Linked DNA regions of Coturnix japonica. The protein of the gene in region 2 purifies or fractionates together with the protein of the main gene of each other region. This does not show direct contact. Links are inferred from orthologs where the notes say so. Each region holds a gene or a part of one and is shown on either strand. Other genes may lie near its edges. The genes, in order: PAK1, RHOU and NCK2.

Region 1 (7,091 bases), on a different chromosome or scaffold from region 2:
ATTTCAAGATAGCTGGGAAAAATAAACTCAAGTTTTATAAAAGGAATTACTTCTCTGTCTACAGAGGAGTTTGGGCTAGAAGTCCAAGGATCTCATATTTTAAGAACATGCATTTGGTAATCTGCAAGAATAGAAAATAATTTATATTGGAAATCCTTTATGCTAAAGAACCGACGAGGTATTTCACACTGTACAAAGCACTCTGTATGCAAACGAGGAGAAAAACCATGTGCAGTAAGACACCAGATCCAATGAAATATGCTTCTCACTCCAGCTCCTGGTTCGTGAATAGAATCCAAGCCCTGAGAAACAGGCTCCACCTTGTAAGAGAGCCATCATACAAAATACCTGTGTGCCACTTATAGACTTAAGACAACCAACAGTTCAAACCCTAATCACACTTACAGAAAGTAACTCCAAGTCCCAAAGTGGTGCTGTTACAACTCTGGAAACAAAACTGTGTCCTAAACTTCTCCATCCAGCAGTAGGACCTGATGATCTTTATGGGTCCCTTCCAACTCAGGACTGCCTGTGACTATGATTCTATTTGATTTTATTTCTCTCTGCTGCCATTTGTAAAGTCAACAAGAGCCATGATTCTACCTCACCCGTAAACTGTGCAAAGGCACTACATACATTAGGCAGGAGACAATGCTTTAGGTAAACCTGGATGACACTCCCTGCCCTAAAAACACAAAAATTATGAGTAGTTTTTATTTTTATCCTCCATTTTCCATTTCGATTACATGTATGGATTAACGTTATAGAAAAAGAAGAGAACAGAGGATGAAACAAGGTTTTATGCCTCACACAATGCAGACCTGCCACTTGATTTCTGTTAGCCCCATAGCTGAAGGCCAAGATCAAGATCTTAATAGCTACACATCAGATGTGTATATATATGTGTGTGTGTGTGTGTGTGTGTGTGTATCATATATATATATATATATCAGTATATCATATGCCATGGTTCTTATACCTTAACTGGGATCACAAAGTGTTATTGTGGGAGAAATTCTTTCCTTTCTGAAAGAACACTTGATTACTGCTTCTGCAATCTTCTGATTTGGTCTGTTTTACCCAAAATAGGACCTTTCTTTTATCCCATCAGCATATTCTCCTCCTTGACAACAGGATGCCTCACTTACCACCACCTGACTTAAGTAATTCTAGAAGAGAGGTAGGAAAAAAACAGTGATTTTTAAGGGAGTTATATCAGCCAGCTTATTTCGCCCTTACGCTATGCAGCAGGTCCAAAGAGCACAGATTACAAGAAGGAAGGAAACCATGGAAGGACAGTTACTGTTTAACCTGTGTCTCAGACAAGATGTAAGAGATACAGAGAGGCCGCCGTTTGCTATATGATGGGAAGAAAGGACATGTGGATTGCCAGCTTAAACAGCTACTCCAGAGCCTTGATAATTTACCAGAAGTACATTGGTACATAAACGAGACCTGAATACTTCCACTGTTTCTTCAAATTCACCTGGAAATGCACTTCATCAGATAGCTGTTTTTGTTTCCTTTTGCATCACCCTGCAAACAATTGCTAAAATGAAGGGAGCTAGAGAAAGCTATACAAGAATACCAGTGCATTTGTTAACACTGCTGCTTGGATCCTCAAATCAAGATGAGGAAGCAGAACTCCTCTCAGCTACCTGCTCCACATACAACACAATAACAGTGAGATCCAGGGGACCAGCCTGAGCACAAAGAGCAGTCAGCGTTTTTATAGTGCAACTCACTGACCTATTTTAAAGCACCTACTGGGGAATCACAAAATCATTATGGTTGGAAAAGATCACTAAGATCACCAAGTCCAACCACCAACCCATCACCACCACCCACTAAACCACGTCCCTCAGTACAACATCTACACGTTTCTTGAACACCTTCAGGGACGGTGACTCCACTACCTCCCAAATGATGATAAATTATATGTCCTGTAAGAGCCTTTTCAATTCTAATGAATAAAAGTCTGGTTAGCATAAATAGTGCTGGGCTGTTTCAAGCTACCTATTCCTAAAGAGCATCACATGCCTTTTGCTCAGGAGGGAAGAATTGATCTCTGTGCCTTACGTGCTGCATCACTGAGCATCTGCTGCCAGCCCCAGCCCTGCTCCCACTGGGAATGGGGCTTCAAAGCACCTCCCCCCAGGTGAGAGATGCGCAAGTCCATATTGCCATCAAGCCCCTTGCCATCAAGCAAAACACATTTACATTCTTCCCAGTTCCTTACAGAGGTTGAAAGCACAAGCACAGCTCTTGGGCAAGCACAGAAAAAGGCACAATACATTTCTGACACATAGTATTTCCCCTTCCCAAAGAGGTAAAAAGCCAACAAGAGAGATTTTTGTATGCATCAAAGGGAAAACAATCGGCCAAGACTTAAAGACAGACGGCTGATGTTTACAGATGCTTGGTCTCAGTTTGTTTTCCTATACTTCCTCATAAAGCATGGTTGTTTCTCAGACCCTTTACGAAGTCTATTTACTTCTGTTATCATGAGCTGTTGACAGGATGGACTGTAAACCCAGATCACTCGAAGGGTGGAGCTCAGCATCGTTTCTGTTTTGCTAACCAGAAAAGTCTATTTTTATAGGTGTTTCAATACACCCAGAAGAATGTAATGGAACTGGGCCATCACAGCTATGGTTACAAAATAATGAAACTATCCACACCTATGAAGTGAGACAGGTACAGAACAGACTGAAGCCACACTGAAGCTCACTGGTGTCTTAAGTTAAACAAAACCACTTAAGAAACCAGGTGAAATTCATGCACTTGCAGTCAAAGTTCTGCACACAACTGGGAAAGGATCCACAAAAATCAGCAGATCTCTGGGGCAAAAGAATAAGTTTGCATTTCCAGTGCAAGCAAACCAGCCAGAAAAGCAATAGGCAAGCAATATATTTTATCACAAAACCATAGGATCATTTGAGTTGGAAGGGCTCTCTAAGGGCCATCTGATCCAACTCCCCTGCAATGCATGGGGGCACCCACAGCTCCACCAGGTGCTCAGAGCCCATCCAGCCTGACCATGACTGCCTGCAGGGATGGGGCACCGCCACCTCTCTGGGCAACCTTATATCCAATCTAAATCTCCCCTCTTTTAGTTTGGAACCATTTCCCCTTGAGAGATCACAACACAGACTGTTAAAGAGTCTCTCCCCTTCTTTCTTATAGCCCTTTTTCTGCCTAATCCACAGAAAACACAGAGGGAAAAGTAATGTCTAACCACCCAGTGGACACACACCATGAGCTGTTCCACACGGAGGAGTTCTTCAAGCCTTATACATGAGCAAGACGAAAGCACCCACACAACAGGAAGGCTCTTAGAGCAGCAGATATGATGATGTTCCCTGATGCACCAGGCAACACCAGGAAAACTCCAGGTAAGGAGAATGGGGAGGTGGTTCAGTGAAAGGTACCGGTGAGTCACTGTACAAAGAGTAACTGCAAGCAAGGAGAACAAACACTCTCCCTCCCGTGCCCAGCACAGCCATTTCACCAGCTACAATGTCTGCTTTCACTTTAAAAAGCTTGGCTAGAACTAAACAGCTTCTACAGTTGTTCTTACATACGCACACAGTGTACTTAATCACCACCTAAAGTACATGCTTTACAGCTGGTAACAAGCAAAGAGCCAGGTCTTGACATCTATTTATTTATAAATCTTGCTGCTGGAGGTAATGTCTGAGTTAAGAACCAAGCAATGCCCAGCAGGAGCAGATGCACCGTGACACACACGCGGATGGAGCCAGCTCTTCCCACTAATCGTGGATTTTAAACCCTCTGGATAACAAAAGCAGCAAGAGAGCATGGATTGCAGGCACGGGAGAGATGCGGGTTTCCAAGCACTGTGGAAGGGACGAGAGTTGCTCCCCCCCGCCCTGCTGTGCTCCCTTTCCTTCGGGCTCCCAGGAGCACCCAGAGGTGCCACCCAACTCGCGAGGTCTCCTCGCTGCCGTTCGCTCCCCGATCCGAACCGGAGGGGCTCGACCGTAGACCTAGTGAGGTCCCTTCCTATCCGAGTCGTGCCACGATCTTAAGTTCAGCTTCGCTTTTAAGATCTTGAATAACAACAGATCTCATACACGCACACATGGAACGGGGGGATAAAGGAGAAACACGCTCCCACGTCCGCATCCCTGCGATACAGCCACACACAAAGCCCGGGGCTGCATTACCCAGCAATGGGCCGGCTCCTCAACTCTTTGTGTTCACCCCCCAGCCCCTCCAGCCGCAGCCAGCACAAGGTGCGGGCTGAGCCCCGACCTCCCCCACCTCAACCTCCGTCCGGAGACCCCAAGCGGCTTTCGATCGCACAGCCCGAGGCTACAGACAACACCCTTTGTTAAATGAATGAGCTGGGAAAGCAGGAGGGAGGCGATCTCAATGCCGTTCCCCCCCCCCCCCCCCAAACCTCTTTCTTAAATTGAATGGAAAGGGGAAGGGAAAAAAAAAAAAGAGAGAGAGAAAGAGAGAAGAAAAATAAGAACCCAGCCGCTCATCCTCTTTACAAACTTTCCAGTTACAAAAAGAAAAAAGAAAAGATCGCGGAGGAAATCCCCGGCCCAGCAGCACTCACCTTCCGCCCGCTGCAAGGTGCCGCCCGCTCTCCGCCCTGCCCGCTCCCCGCGGCCGCCCGGCGCCGCCTCCCCGCACCCTCCCCGCTATCATTGGCTCCGGAGGGGTCCAGGAGTCCGCCCCCTCCACCAAGGTGGGCAGCCCAAGGTTGGGGGAGAAGTTTGGAGCCGGTGTGTTGTGTTGGAGCTTTGGGATGGGCTGGTTGTTCGGTGCCCGGTGCTTATAGAGCACGGGGTTGGTGCGGGACTGAAGGATGGTTCGCGATTATGGTGATAAGGCCGAGGGGAGGGGATGGCCGGCTGTAGTGACTTGGTTTCTGTTCTCGGTATCTCAGAACCGGCTCCATTAGGGACCGTGTGGCTCGCAGATCCAAAAAAGGAAAGAAGGGAAACTGGCTCTGCCCTGCTGCTGTGCTGCACAGCAGGATGTGCGTATCGCAGGGATGTTACCTTATACTGCAAGAGATGGGGTTTGTCCTCCCCCACGATGCAAAGCTCGCTGGAAACTTGTCCCCGTAGTTAGCAGGAGTGTTCAGCACCGCGCTTGTGCTCTGCTGGGAGAGAAGAGGTGGGGTTTGATCACAGGCATTCAGGAAAAGGAAACGGTGAGGCTGTCTAGACAGAGATGTCAAACGCTAAGTGGAACAGGTAGATACATGGGAGGCAAATAATGCAGGTCACCACATCAGACCTGATCTTACAGAGTCACAGCACGCTCGTATACAACAGCATTGCACAGCCTTGCCCTTCCCTCCTGTATCAGCGTTTATCAGTTCCCCTGATAAGTTTGTTCAGGAGCTAATGAATCCGACTGAAATACACAAATAGAGGAAGTGAGAACACAAGGAGTGGCAGGGAAGGTTGGAGTGCAGCAGGGCTGATTTCAATCAGCTTAACCTGTTGCTGAACCACATGCTCAGTTACTTCCCCCTAGATATGGGAACCCCCAGGTACGTGGGAGTCGTGCGTGATCACTGCAGCGAGGAAAACTGCACAGCTGAGCTCAGATTCCATAGCTGCAAAGGAAGCACACAGAGCTGAAGTTAGAACTGAGCACAGCTCCCTTTCCATCCCACACCGAGTCCCGAAGAGTGACTCTTTCTGTACTCTGAATAAGAAAACCTCTTAAGAAACAAGGATGCACCCTGATAGTTTTGAAAACAAGTTTGAAAACAAGCCAGGTGAGAGACTGGTCCAAAGTACTCCTAAGGGTGCCCTCTCTGAAAGATATCTGACCAAACACATTTATCCAACCCCATGACAGTGATATGGAGAATGGTGATGGGAAGTTACTGGCAGTGGTTGGCCTAAGGCCTGGCCCACCATCAGCCCATGGATTGCTCCAACAGCCCCTGCTATGGCTGCTGTTATATTTGTATCACAGCAGCACGGAACAACCAGAATACTGCACTTTAATTAGAAGCATTGTAAAGCAAAAAGACTTTGTCTATGCACAGGTTATCTTGGTTCAGAAATCGTTTCACTTAAATCTTTTTATATTCACTGCGAAACATTGAGAATATTCTGGGATTACGACGCAGTGTTTGGAATAGATCCAGATCCCAGAACTTCTCTATCTATTGTATTTCAGAGAGGATTCCCAAACACATGGCAGAAGAGCTGTTTGAGATGCACAGCGTCAGAATGGGACAGAGCTACTGCAGCAAACCAGGTTTTGTACTTGAGAAAGGAATGAGTGAAATGCAGATCATTTATTTGCCTTGTAAGTACTCAGAGCAGAGAAAGTGCTCAGGGGGAATTTCATAGAAATGATTCATCTTGCCTTGAACTCGGGATAAACTCAGATGGCCCATTTTCAGTTTGGGTAGGAAAAGGTTTCCTTATACCTCACAAGGGTCTCCCATTTTCAATATGGGTATAAAAGAGTTCTGTGGGAGACCAGCCCGGGCCTCAAAGACCAACACTGTTCAGTTGTTTATACTTCAGATGCAGAGCAGAGAGAGGAGCCCAGATATTGTGGGGCACATCCTGACAGTTTATTCTCCATCAGCAAGACCAGCATTGATGGTTCATATCATGTTGTGCATCTCTGCTCCTTAGCTACTCCCTGCAGCGTGCCAGTGTGACAATGTGTGCACCTGGGAGGGATCAGCAAACTTCTCCACCTAAGATTTTTACTAAGATTTTCAGCCAGATCGGATCCCAGGCCTTGACTGAAATGATGCACAGGGAATATAGGGGCATGTGAAGTCACAGGACTGAGGAATAGTACCTTGCTATGGTGTACCAGTTTAATCACCCGCAATCATTTGTCCACTCGAACCTGTCTGAGCAATTACAGACAAGTTGGCCTCAGCCTACAAGGAATCAGATATCAAGAATACCTTGAAGAATTGTCACAAACAGGGAGAAACTTAATGACAAGGCTTAATAGTCAGACAATGATTGGAAAAAGGGAAGGGAAGGGAAGGGAAGGGAATTCCAATGTCAGCGAATCCAACTAGTGAAATAACGTAAGGGCCAGAACATCTGTCTGCTAGA
Region 2 (6,962 bases):
GAGGCACAGTGTTATTTTCCCTTTAACCGTCCGTGTACACAGCTCTACATTTCCACAGTCCTCCTGCGCAGCCCTTGCAGCGAAAGGCTCCCGTCTGTTCCTCCCCATCAGGTACACAGGGTAAGACAAGAAGTCAAATCCTTTGGACAAATCCTTATAGCTTCACAGACACGTGGTGCACTTCTTCCGCAATGAAAGATTTTAGTCACGAAACTCAACGCCAGATCTGATTTATAGCCATGATTTAACTACAAATCCTTCTGCTACCCTCACGAGGGCAACGGAGATACCAAGTAGCAACATATACACATACATACAGACCTAAGCTATACACCTGGGACAACACAGAATGAGATTTCAGCTAATATAGCCTCTATTTGATTTCCTCAGAGCAGCACTCGGGTCCTCGCAACTTCTATACAAAACAGCAGTATTTTTTCCACCAGGATTTGGAGAGGTTTTTCATCTTGTCTGGAGTCCTACACTTGGATTTCTTTGGTTGCTGTTGGGTATCTGAGTACTGAATTCCGGCCACAATGGCCGCATCAAAGACCTCCTTGAGGTTTTTCTGAGTCAAAGCCGAGCACTCGATGTAGGACGCAGCTTTTATTTCCTCAGCACAGAGCTTTGCGGCCTCCTCTGGGACTGGCTTCTCCTTGCACTTGTCCAGCTCAATGAGCACCTTGACGTCCTCCCGGAGGTCCGACTGCGTCCCCACCAGGATGATGGGTGCCTTGGGGCAGTGACATCGGATCTCGGGAACCCACTTCTCACTGACGTTCTGGAAGGATGAAGGGCTGACAACGCTGAAGCACAGCAGGAAGATGTCTGTGTTGGTGTAGCACAGCGGCCTCAGCTTGTCAAACTCATCCTGTACAGAACAACAATGTGTTAGCACATGACAAACAGTGTAGGCCGCAAAACGACCCCAGCTTCAACCCTTGTCCTCTGGGGAGACCACAGTACCAGAACATGAGCCCAATTGCAAACCCAAGGCCCAGCCATGCCTAGCCACAAGCTCCCATCTGGATGAGCTCTCCTAATGCTGCAGCGTCAAGTGTTTATGTATTTCCTTTGCTACTTCTACATCAGCCCTATTTCAAACCAGAAAAAGGACCAGCAGAGCCACAGAGAGCAATGAAGCTAAAAAGGGAGGTATGGGAGGTTAAAGGTACACAGACCTCCGAGGTGCTGTCCTGCCTGCATACCCTGATGAGAGCACAGCAGACAAGTGGCAGCAAGCACACACCAGGCCGGAAACATTTTGAAACCAGCACTACTTAACAACATCCTACAGGAGAGGCAATAATTTCCCTGCCTTTGTGCCCGGGGATTTAAATCCTGATGGCAGCAACAGCGAATCACAATGCACGGGCTTAACATGCCAATGGCATGGAATAAGAGCTTTACCTTTCCCTCCCACCCATGCCACATCAAACAAACTGCAGAGAGGCCTCCCGGTGCTATCTTTTTTTTTTTCCCCCCCTCCTCTCCCCTTTCCTCTTTTTGTTAGAGGAAACTCCCAACAAAGCAAGGCCCTTCTGCTGCTTCAGGAGGTAGCAGCAAGAAAGCCGAGCACCTGAAGGTAATAAAGGAGCAAAGAATGCAGCAAGAAGCAGAGGGTTAACTAACTGCACACAGCCCTTGATGCTGACAGCAGGATGAAAGCAGGGTAACACCAGCAGCCTGAGCAGGTAGGATTTGCCTCTACCAAGTGACATTTTAATTAAAATGGACATGTTCTCAAAAGCTCTGAATTTAAAGCGCAGAGAACAAACGCGGCTGAAGACATTTCTCCAACACCAGCATTTAATTGCAAGTCGTGTGTTCATTTTCAAGATGGGAAATTCTGCTTTAAAGCCCGTGAGGGCCCAGGATATGCAGCTTAAAGCTCGCTGGAAGCCTCACAAGTCTCGTTCTACTTGAATGAATTTCTTCCAGCAGCAACTCCGAGAGAGACAGCAATTTATAAAACAAGAGTCAAGACAGCAAGCTTCATTAGCTCTGCTGATTCCCTGATTAAGGCTCACAGGAGTGCGGGTTCTCACCATTTGACTGGAGGAGCCCTGTGCTCACTGAGCTGCAGCACTGAAGGACGGGGCCATTTGCAGCGAGGCATCTCACCACCTAACTGCCTCTTCCTGCAACGTGAGAAACCTCAGCAGCGCTGGATTCAATGGGCTTGAAAGCCAAACCCAGATCTTAAGGGTTCCTGCCCAGAAGGAACGGCACCCTTTATGTTCCAAGTGCACTCCTGCGGTTTCAATGGCAGGTACACAGACTGCAGGGCTCTGTACCTCTTCAGGCTGCCGACACTGAAATAGCTGGAATTTCACTCTGCTTGGAGTGCTCTTTCAGCTGCAGATTCCAGCAGCAATCTCACCCAGCCAGGTGTATTTTATTCAAGATGACTAATGCTGCAGACAACTCCCCCTGTTCCAGGGCACTTGGACAGCCCAACACCAGAACCATTCTGTAGCAGTGAAGGAAAGCAGACTAGCTGGCACCACCTGGCCTGGGCTCTATACCCACAGGCTGTCACCGCACAGGTGGCATCACCTGCACACTCTGCTTATGAGCACACACAGGGATCCACCCTGGCATCACACCAAGGGACACCTGATGCTACTACCTGCAGAAGGCAGGTAATAACCTGCTTGCAGGTTTTCAGGTTGGGTTTGTAGGGCAGACGGAAGCCCTACACTGCTACCAGGACTGCGCGGCCCTCTAAAGTCCTTCCTTAAGTAGGGCACCTGCTTGCAGAGCACCTAACTAGGTTTGTGTGCTAAGGCCACTGAGATTCATCCATGTGGCTTTGGGGATGCCATAGACCTGGATCTACAAAGCAGATCACGAATCCAGTTCCCATCCCCTTCAGAAACAAGTTAAGTAGCAAAAAAACTTCAAGCTACAAGGGACTCAAACAGTACCGCATGTTTTTATGGCACACACAGGCCAAGAACATGCAGAGAACACAAGAGATGGGGGCTCTAGTCAGGCAAACGAGGAGCTGGTGAGCTCAGAAGAGACAGCACTTCATAGTAGATGGGAATTGAAAGCGCGAAGTCTCCACGGATGCCACCAAATGGTATTTTCTTTCTCCCTCAAGTCCCTTTAACAGCACAGTTCCACCTCTCCATACCTACAGCTATGAACGTGTAAACGTCTGTGCTCCAAACAAAGTAATCCTCATTTCCGTGGTTATTTAACTAAGAAAATGAAGGCGGTGATAACTGCTCTCAGGGAATACCAGGTGGCCTTCCAGACCCCGGGGTCACCACCGGGGCCGCTTTGTGTGACCTCTTCCCCAGGGCCCTCCCCCCTTCCCTCCTGCTGTCACTGGGTTTGGTGGCTTCACTGACCTGCCCGGCTGTGTCGCAGAGCTGCAGTCGCACCGGCTTGCCATCCACAGACACCACGGCTAGGGGGAGACAGGAGGGGGAAAGAAAAGCGTGTTGAGTTCAACTTGCACATTTTCCTTTAGGAAAAAAAAAAAAAAAAAAGGAAAGGAAAGGAGAGATACGGTCTCTGTCTTCACAGCCTTTCCTTTCGCTTAGGCTGGATGTAACAGCTCACAGGGCTGGAGCCGGGTCTAGCACCAGCTACCAGGCACGCAGAAGCCCTGTGGACTCTCTGCTTCATAGCCCCGCTCTGTGCCTTTCCCTGCTGTAGGGGCCTTATTCCGCGATCCTTTTACACGTTCTCAAGCACGGAGAGCCCCCGCCGGGCCGAAGGCACACGGAGCGGAGCCTCACCCTCCGCAGCCGCCTCTGGCCGGGTAGAACCACACATGTCCGGCGTCCCTCGAGGGGGACGAAACTCCAGCCCTGCTATCTCCCTATTCAAGCCGCTCCGCTGTAGCGTGCCGTCCGCGGGCACCCCGGGAACAACCCCCCCCCACCACGCCGCCGCTGCCCCGCGGTCCCGCTTACCTGAGAAGGTGTCGAGGGCGGTGGGCTGGTACTCGTCGGGGTACCCGTTGGTGGTGTAGCTGACGACCAGGCTCGTCTTGCCCACGGCGCCGTCTCCCACCAGCACGCACTTGATGCTGCGCCGCGGCTCGGCTCCGGCCCCCGCCCCGCTCCCCGCCGAGGTCCCGGCTCCGCTCCCCGCCGCCCGGCAGCGGCCGCCCAGCGCCGCCCCCAGCGCCGCCGCCGCCCGCCCGCTGCGCACCCTGCGCGGGGGAACCGGCGGCACCTCGCAGCCGCCCGGCACCGGCTTGCTGATGTAGCCCGCCTCGCCCTCCTGCTGCGGCGGCATCCGAACGGCGCCGCGCGGTACCGCCGGCCGGGAGGCGGCGCGCGGCGCGGGGCCGCCGGCCGGGGAGCGGCGGGGAGCGGAGACGGCGGCGACGGGAGAGCGGTGCGGAGCAGCCGCGGGTCGGCAGGAGCGGCGCGGCCGCCGCGAAGCCAGCACCGGTGGAGCGGGCGCTTCCCGGGGGAGGGAGAGAGGGCGAGCGGCTCCTACAGCGCTGCCGGCGACGAGACCCCGGCTGGCCGTGCCGTGCTGTGCTGCGCTGTGCTGTGCTGTGCTCGCCTCGCTACCAAGTCCGAGTCTCCAGCCCCGCTCCGCCGCGTGACATAGCGCCGAGTGGGGAGGAGCCGCGCGGTGCGGCCGGACCCAGCCCGGCAGGCGGCGCCACGGCGCCCGCTCCGCCCGCCCGACGGCTGCGGCTGCCGGTAGGGGCGGCGGGAGTCACCATTGGATGGAGCGGAGGGGGTGCGCCGCCTGCACCGTCGGGGCCGCCCGCTGTCCGCTGCCTGGTGCGTCCCTTGAGTTATAGTGATGCTGCTGCCAGCCCTCGTGGGGTGCCTGAGGGCACCTGCTGTGTGCTGTGCTGTGCTGGGCAGGGCAGAGCCGCAGCTGCAGCCTGGGCTATCAACTCACTTCCACTCTGAAGAGATTGAAGAAGAGTTGAACTCTAATTACATCCCAGCTGTATTTTGTCTTAGCGTCCCACACACCGTGCACGCTGTTGGTGCTATGAAGTGGTACGCCATGCTGGAAAGTGCTGAACATCACTTTGAACCAGCTTTGTAGCCCTCCTCTGGACATTGAGGCCCTGGAACGCGTCCAGAGGAGGGCTACGAAGCTGATGAGGGGTCTGGAGCACAGGCCTTATGAGGAGCTGCTGAGGGAGCTGGGATTGTTCAGCCTGGAGAAGAGGAGGCTCAGGGGAGACCTTATTGCTCTCTATAACTTCCTGAAGGGAGGTTGTAGTGAGCTGGGGGTTGGCCTCTTCTCTCGTGTAATCAGTGATAGAACTAGAGGGAATGGTTTTAAGCTGCGCCAGGGGAGATTCAGGCTGGACATTAGGAAGTATTACTTCTCGGAAAGGGTAGTCAGGCATTGGAATGCACTGCCCAGGGAGGTGGTGGAGTCACCGACCATGGGAGTGTTCAAGAAACGCTTGGATGTGGTGCTGAGGAATATGATTTAGCCAGGAAGTATTGGTAATGGTTGGACTAGATGATCTTCTAGGTCTTTTCCAACCTTGATAATTATGTGATTCTGAACAGTGTTGAAGGATGATGTGAAAAAGCTCTTCACTGCAAACACTGCAAGTGATAAATGCCATGTGTGCATTTTCGAACACCTTCGGTGGCCAAAAACAGTTGATGTATTGGTTAGATGACTACAACTGTCCACATTGTTCCTGCACTGGCAGGGCGGGAGCAGCCTGGGAGCTGCATATCTGTGCTATACTGTAATGCGCCCTGCCAGATACAGTAGCCCTTTGTATGAGAGGATGATCTAAGCTGTTGTTATGCAGGGGGGGTTCCCACCCACACCATAGCAGCAAGCTGGGGCAACCCCAACAGTGGTGCCATCCTGCATGGAGGATGCTCTGAGTGACAGCCACTGTCCCTGAAGCTGTCAGCCCAGATCTACAGTGTGCACCCATCTTGCAGGTTGGAACACAGCTGTTTTCAGAGCTGAGCTGTGGGATAACGAAGCTTAGTTCCATGCAGGTCACTAGTGTGCTGCTGGCTGTCCCAGGGCTGATCTGTTATCAGCTCCCGCTCTATCATACGTGCTTGTGTTAGTCGAATACTATTCTTTGAGGAAAATGACAGAGAGAGGAAATTATTTTATCAAGACGTGAAGTAGGTCATTGTTATATCCTGGCTTATCATTTTCCCTGTGATACAAAGAATCTGAACGGGGTGCTGGCCTTGTAGAATGAAAGCTTTCTCTTTTTTTTTCCTTCCTGCAGAAACTTGACAAGCCTGACACGGAGCAAGGCAGTGGGTATGACGTGATGCAGTGCTGCTGGTGCAGGGCAGGGTACAGCCTGCTACATGGGGCCGTCACCAGGCACCCACTCTTTGCTTTTCCAGCAAGCCCACAGCTGGAAATATATATTATATATATTATATATATATTTGCCGGGGCTTTTTTTAAAGAACATGTTCATCACTGATGATATAAACCTCAAGCAAGTTTTCACTACCTGGGGAAAGGGCTCAGGAACCAGCACACATTATTAACACAGTAATCTCCCCCTGCCCCTCCAACAGAGTTCAGATTGAGAAGGCACTAACATGAACTCAAAGAAATGGATTGTTGAAGTCAACCTGTAAGCAAAATAAAACAAAACTAAACAAAGCAGAATTGCTTCGAGCCTCTTAAGTCCCTGATTAATTCAGAAAACAAATTAACTCTTGCCTCCTATCTGCAGTACCTCTGCAGGGGAGTCGCTGTGGGAGGTGATCCCTTTATCTCACTTTTAACATCCTTTTCAGCCCATCTCAGACCACAGCTGCTGGCGGGCACTGTGTGCCCTGAGCACTGTATGGCAGTTACCAATCTGTCCATCCTAGAGCTCCTCATGGCTCAGGGCTGGCCCACAGCCTGGGGCACAGGGATGGAGCTCTGCTGCAGGGATGGAGCAGTGTCCTTGTGCTTCTGCTCACAAGAGATTTTTACATGCTATTTTTGCCTCGGAGTTGCAGAGACAA
Region 3 (6,479 bases), on a different chromosome or scaffold from region 2:
CAGCAACACACCTTTCACAGATCATCAGTATACATATGATAACAAGTTTCCATTTTAAAATGAGTCATCCTATGCTGCTGGAGGAGGAACACAGAATTAATCAGATTTCAAGGAGATTGCACAGGTTTCCTTACTTCCAAGCTACTGAACAGACCTGTTTAAGACCAAGAAGGAACAAACGCCGTTCCAGTTATGTAGTAGCTTTTGCCAAACAAAATATCAGACTGAATCCAAAAGAAGCATGGTCCCTTTTCTAGATAAATATATATTTTAATGTTTGTTTTTGTTTGTAGTTGAGGCAAAATTTGGTTCATTCTTATAAGATAAAATTGTAAAATGGTTTTAAACATTCCAGCTTTGTCATCACAAAACTCATCACTATAAGCACAGGTATCTTTCACTTATACCTTAGTGAAACTGTTAAATTAGGAAGTTAGTTTTACACTACAGGAAAGCTACAGTAAAGGCTTGAAAGCACAGCTGTCAACTTGAAGACTGTCACCTTAATTTCTAAGACAAAAGAAAATTGATTAGAGAATACTAAACAGAATTATTCAAGACCATGACTTTTAGTCCATTCACACACTCCACATTCATGTTAATTACCCAACCACCTTTTCTCTACTTTCCCCAAAAGCAAAGGCAAAGCAAAGCCTTTGCTTTTACAGCACAGCAGGACCACACGAGCTTACCCGGCATGCTCTCTGTTTACTTGTAGCTTAATCCTTCAGTAATCTGCCTGCAACTAGTGTGACTACCTTCAAAACTAAATCGGTCAGCTGTGGCTATCTGGAACCAAACTGTGTCATATTTTGCTGACAGGCACCTTAAATCAGCTGAAAGCTGCACCACTTTATTTACAGTTTCTGTTGTACTTCTCTGCATGACTTCCTGTTTAAGACTCAGCACCGTGCTGCAAGTTCACGCTTTTTCTAATTTGGAGCTGGCAAGCAACTGCCTGGCTTAGGACCTGAGAAAAAGCTTGTGCCCATTCATCTGCAAAAGAGAGTAAATCCTAAAGCTCTCCGATTTATTTATTTATTTAGCCAAGTACTAGCATGGGTAACAGCAACATGGCAGTGGAGGCACTGACAAACAGTATCAGGTCCCAGATATATGCAGTTCTGAAGTGGCTAAAAAATGGTAGCAAAACACTCCTCTAAGTTTTCTCTCAAAAAACAAAACACTGGTGATAGACAGGACCTCCTCCCAGCCCTTCTGGACACCTTTCAGTCTGCAAGACTGAACAGCAAAAAATCAAGGACCAAGAGGAACAGCAACCTAAGTAAAGCCTTAGGAAAGGAATGGCACAGCTTACAAGGATGTGCAAGTTCAGAAGTGAGAGGATTTGACCATCTTGTCAACTAGTAGCAGAGTCAGAAAACTCATTCACTGTTCTATGTAAACTGTATCAAGGCAAGAAAATATTCAACAACTATACAAATGTAATACTTCAAAACTAAACAGATGCACCTCTATGAACCAGGTATGATAAGGAAAGCCAGGCTTCATCATTAAGAAAAATCACCACTTTATCAGACATTATTTGAGCCTTTAATGAAAACTGCAGGAGAAGAAACTCAGGTAACCACAATTCCTATAATCTCACAACAAAACACACCCCCTAATCCCATGTTTCGACAAAGATGCTTCAAGTACTCAAAAAATAAAGATTATAATTTTGTCAAAAGATAGGAAGTGTAGGTATAAAATGAGGAAACAAAAATCCATGTTATACCATCCTTTATTAAACTGTTACCACTGAAAATTTTTAATGCTTAAGGCCCAATCCAGAAAACGAGGTCAAAAAGGCAGTAAAACTTGCAGAAACCTATCTTAATTAGCAAGGACTGGGAACAACTGAAGACCTATTAATGAGCCTGCTGAATAGACTGCATGTTGATTAAATACGGAGTGGGCAAAAACAAGATGAAGCTTGTTTCAAAAAAAAATAATTCAAGCTAGTTGTTCATAAGGCTGGATCATAAATTAACGTTAGTTACTGCTTCCAAACAAAATACTCCAGTGGTTGGCGCCTCTATATTCAGAAGCTGTTCACAAGGCAAGAGGTGGAAGAAAAAAATAAAAGGATTGTAAATCCCTTAGAATATCGAGCATATGGTAAAAATCTCACTTGGAGGTCTATTTGATTTAGTTCTAATCTATCAAGACTAGAAAGGGGTTCGGAACTTTCAGTGGAAAAAAGAAAAGCAAAATAGGAAACGCACAGCAAGAGGCATAGAAAGACTCTTGGAACACAAAATACAGTGAATGTTTCAGAAAAATGAACATGGGGCAACATGAAAGAGTAACTGTAGTTGTTGATTTACTGAAAAACATTCCCACGTACCACTTTTTGAAACACTACAAAGAGGCAATGGGACTGAAAAGCAACTCACTCCGAACTGAAAACACACAGCATGTAGTTGGCTTTCTTAATGTCTTTGTCATACTCAAGGTACATGCTTACATTGAGCTAAATGAGTAACTAGATATTACACAGCAAAAGCCCTATGGCCTCTGCAGAACTCACTTAAAAGGTTAAGAAGAAACCAACTGTGATGTCCTGGCAAGAAGGATGTAAACAAGGGGCACTTCTCAGCAACTCCATAATGAAAATTTCTCTGCTCCCATAATCTAGCCATGGGTATGTTCTTGCCAGGATGAAGAAGAGTGATTGTTCTGGTCTGTCTTATATAACTACCCTTATTCACAAAGCTGGACCATGCAGAAGTTTCAGTGCCCGATTTTTGTTTACCCACATACAGTTGTTAATTCATACACAGTTCTAATCCAGATAATCTCACAGAAATAAGAGCAGCTGTGGAAGAATAACATGTGTATAACTCATGAAGTTGTACGTTGGTTGCTCTGAAAGTAATGCCTCGATTTACTTCCATCGAAACTACCACAGATACAAAGAGCACAATAACACTATTTGATAGAACAAATTCTCAGCTACAAAACACTCTTTTTCAACAGTCATCACCATCAGCTATGCATTTTTGCCAGCGATGAACAAGAGCCTGCATGCCACACTCATAAAAATCTGCATGGCCATCCAGAACATGGCTTGTCTTTCATGTTGCTGTCACCACTGCTGAAATGCACCACCCACCGCCTCACTGTGCTCACATCCACTGTCTGGTCTCCATTAAGTTCCAGCAAATGATGATGAATGTCAATGGGTGCCATTTTTTTCTGCATGGAGGAATTCAACTAGACACCTTTGTTTCATACACACTTTCATGTCAGACATCATTGCATCAGAGTGCTGCCATCTGTCACACAGCAGCAAAATGTTACAGAATGTTGGTGGGAATGCTCAGCCCCTACTACCGTCCTACTAATATCCACCTCTGACTTCATAATAATAAATAGGAGACATTACTTTCAGAGCAGCCCTCAGCTGGTGCTTGTTCTGCCTACACTGGAGTTATGCATGTATCACCACTGGCTGAAATACAAAAATCTGTAAGGAAGACTTAATAGCAAAAAAAGGTCCCATAAAAGAGCTCCATCTTGCAGTTTTCATTAAAGCTATAAACAAATCACAGAGAGAATCAATGTGGAGCTCATTAGACACCGCCTCGTATCAACCTGAACTCTGCAGTGGCACATATTTTCTTTGTAGGCCACACACATTCCAAGACAGGCAAATTCAGAATTTACTCTATTTGACCTTTCTAAAGCCACGCCAGAACTACCACCCAAGGATAAACCCAGTACTCCATCATGACATAATACCTTTTTTATTACAATATCCAAAAAACTGAGTACGCAAGATTTTGAGATCTCAAGATCCCTTCTTCAATCTCAGGAGTGTGCCATCTAAAGTCTGTATATTTAAACCATAAAGGAGTTTAAATGTAAAGAAAAGAGAAAAAAGCATTTTCTTCATAAACATTCTGTGTGTCTCTTCCTACCAATCACACCACCCTCCATAAAACCTGAAGTTTCCTTTCTGTAAAGCAAATATATATATAGTGTTGGTAGCCCACCCCACCCTGTCCCCTGATCAGTTTTTATTAATTTTCTGTATTAGTGTCAACAATCAGCTACAGATACATATTACTTTGAGAATTAAATACATAATTGTTTAATTCAAACAAGCAGAAGGGCAAGAGGAAAAAAGCATTATGTGGATGGCACATTTGGTTGTAGATTACCAGAACATTCAGTCTTTACAATTCAATGATTCTCTCTTTAGTAATCAACTTTCAAATAAAATTTCTCTTTGTTGCAATTACAGACCAAAATACACTAGATAGTTTTCTTTTACTACAATCTTACCATAGTAGTTTAAGAAGTACTATTACAAAACGCTTTAATTAGTGTACTCTTTGCAAAGAGTCAGAGAGGCAATGTAATAGCAGAGTACAGTGTAAAGAGTGCTTCTAGGAACTAGGAGTTTTTGTAATATACTACCTGGTAAGCAATATAGCTACAGAACTCACAGCCACAACTGTTATGTCTACTATATCTCACTTACTTAGCTGCAGCCTCAGTGCATTCAAACTGTGCCCGATGTCTCTTAACAAAGAGTTCTGTCTGTCTGCGTGAGCAATTTGAACAGGTTAACACTGGGTTGAATTGCAAACCCCCCTCCTTTATCCGAGCTAAGTATGTAAACGTACACAGAAGAGGGGAGTTTAGAACTCGGACATGGAAGTGAGTGCTTACAATGGCCACAGAGGTGAACTTCTCAACCTGAAGGGAGGTGATCTGAGATTAACAGAACTGAAACACAAAAGTAGGCAAACGAAAAAGGACAAATAACAACCAACAGAGCAAACACGTTAGAAAGAGCCTACTCTTTAAGCCTGCTTCGGATATTGCTCTGCTCTATAAAAGTGATTTTAGGACCTAAGGCTTGGAAGTTAGAAGGGGCCTGGGTGGCCAAGTCCATCTTCATCGTCACTGAAGTGCTTTCACAAGATATAGCTTTTCCCCGTGTTCACTGGTGAAGATGGGTGCCTTTTTGTAGTGTTCCACCAACTCATCCATAGTATTAAAGCGACGCTGCCCAATACAATAGACATTGTCCACGAGCTGCACCTTGAAATGTTTGTTCTTCCCCGATGCTTTTAGAGATACCGAGAAGTCACTGGGCTGTTGGGAATAATTCAAAAAGAAAAAGAAAGAGTTACATAAAAGTGAACAAAAAGAAGGCACAGTATGGTGGTTTCAAGAACAAACTGAAATACAGCTGACAGCGTAATTTGTGTTAGTCTTTGTTCCACAGCTCAGTGCCTCAGCTACTTAAGAAACCCAATAGTCTATTATTCAATAAATAATTGCCATCGTGCACAGTTAAGTCATTTAAGTGAAGCTCCCCAGATGCATAGTCTGAAGTTGCCAATTACATGACTAAATTGCAAATATTATCTTAGTTCCTCCATGCAGAAGCACAAGAATGTCAAGGAGAACAGGAAAACTTTCATCATTTTGGTTTCTTTGCTCGAGAGCCCTGGAGAAAGCTATTACTGCAGTAATACTTGGGTGAGACGAAGCAAACTCCCTGCATCATTTCTTTAATTATTGTTTTTTATCATTTTTTTGAGCTGTGACCACTAGAGGGCCATTCTTGCTTTGTACTGCAAAAGAAAAAAAAATTCAAAAAAAGATGCCTTTTTTTTATCTTCATCACCACATGCATAGGAAATGATGTCTTCTACCACGTACACCCTTTTCTTAACAGGATAAAGCTATAGAACAAAAATATAGTACAAACTGCACCATCAGCCACCAGCCATGAAAGACAAATTTAACCACTAATTAAATTATCCAGAACAGAGCAATTCTGCATGATAAAACTTTGTAAATCTTCAAGTCTTTGGTGAGTGGTTGCTTTGAGAAGGCTGCAGTTAGAACAGGCAGGACATGAGCCCACCACCCATCCTTCACCAAACACAGCTGGCAACACTGAGAACCAGATCACTGCACTCACTCCAACAAAGCAAAACCCATGAGGGAGCGTTCGGTTCACAATATCATGCGCAAGCTCTGTCCCAGCACAGCTGCAGCACAGTGGGGGAGTGGGAACCTCCCGATGTCAACACGGTCGCCAGTTTTGCTTTGGGAAGATGTGCTGGGGGCCTGGTACACACTAGAGTATCTATCCAAAGTGAGCCACTTCCTTCTCCTGGAGAGATGTGGGTCTCTGCCACACATACCCTCCATATCCTGCGCTGCCCCAAATCGTGATCCTGAATCTCACCTAACTGTTTTAGTATTGATACCTTCTATTCCTTCTCCATCCTACTCCATCCATGCTGCTAAAAACAATTCCAGACCTGTCAGGATCTAGCTGAACCTCCTGGATCTGCATAACCGCAGCATACAGAGCTGTGTCAGGAAGCCCCAGCACAGAGCCTATGCTTCGGCAGAAATCTTCTTCCTAGTCCCTAATGAATGGTCATCAAAGGGTAATGACAAATCTGCAGCTGAAGCACAGGTCTGCACAAGCACAGCTTTGA

What was found.
Region 1: the proteins of RHOU (region 2) and PAK1 purify together in Homo sapiens (co-immunoprecipitation; 5 studies listed by BioGRID and IntAct, with this or other methods). This does not show direct contact. The link is inferred for Coturnix japonica from reciprocal best matches to the Homo sapiens genes RHOU and PAK1.
Region 3: the proteins of RHOU (region 2) and NCK2 purify together in Homo sapiens (co-immunoprecipitation; 3 studies listed by BioGRID and IntAct, with this or other methods). This does not show direct contact. The link is inferred for Coturnix japonica from reciprocal best matches to the Homo sapiens genes RHOU and NCK2.

Annotation. Positions count from the first base shown.
Region 1 is NC_029516.1:172,809,008-172,816,098, reverse strand, and holds the start of PAK1 (serine/threonine-protein kinase PAK 1), read right to left. Parts: upstream 4,646-7,091; 5' UTR 4,592-4,645; intron 1-4,591. UniProt on the Homo sapiens protein: Protein kinase involved in intracellular signaling pathways downstream of integrins and receptor-type kinases that plays an important role in cytoskeleton dynamics, in cell adhesion, migration, proliferation, apoptosis, mitosis, and in vesicle-mediated transport processes.
Region 2 is NC_029518.1:35,771,863-35,778,824, reverse strand, and holds the start of RHOU (rho-related GTP-binding protein RhoU), read right to left. Parts: upstream 4,276-6,962; 5' UTR 4,261-4,275; coding exon 3,933-4,260; intron 3,422-3,932; coding exon 3,363-3,421; intron 872-3,362; coding exon 416-871; 3' UTR 1-415. UniProt on the Homo sapiens protein: Binds to and activates protein kinase PAK1. Plays a role in the regulation of cell morphology, cytoskeletal organization and focal adhesion assembly during cell migration. Also stimulates quiescent cells to reenter the cell cycle.
Region 3 is NC_029516.1:122,087,712-122,094,190, reverse strand, and holds the end of NCK2 (cytoplasmic protein NCK2), read right to left. Parts: intron 5,113-6,479; coding exon 4,918-5,112; 3' UTR 1,727-4,917; downstream 1-1,726. UniProt on the Homo sapiens protein: Adapter protein which associates with tyrosine-phosphorylated growth factor receptors or their cellular substrates. Maintains low levels of EIF2S1 phosphorylation by promoting its dephosphorylation by PP1.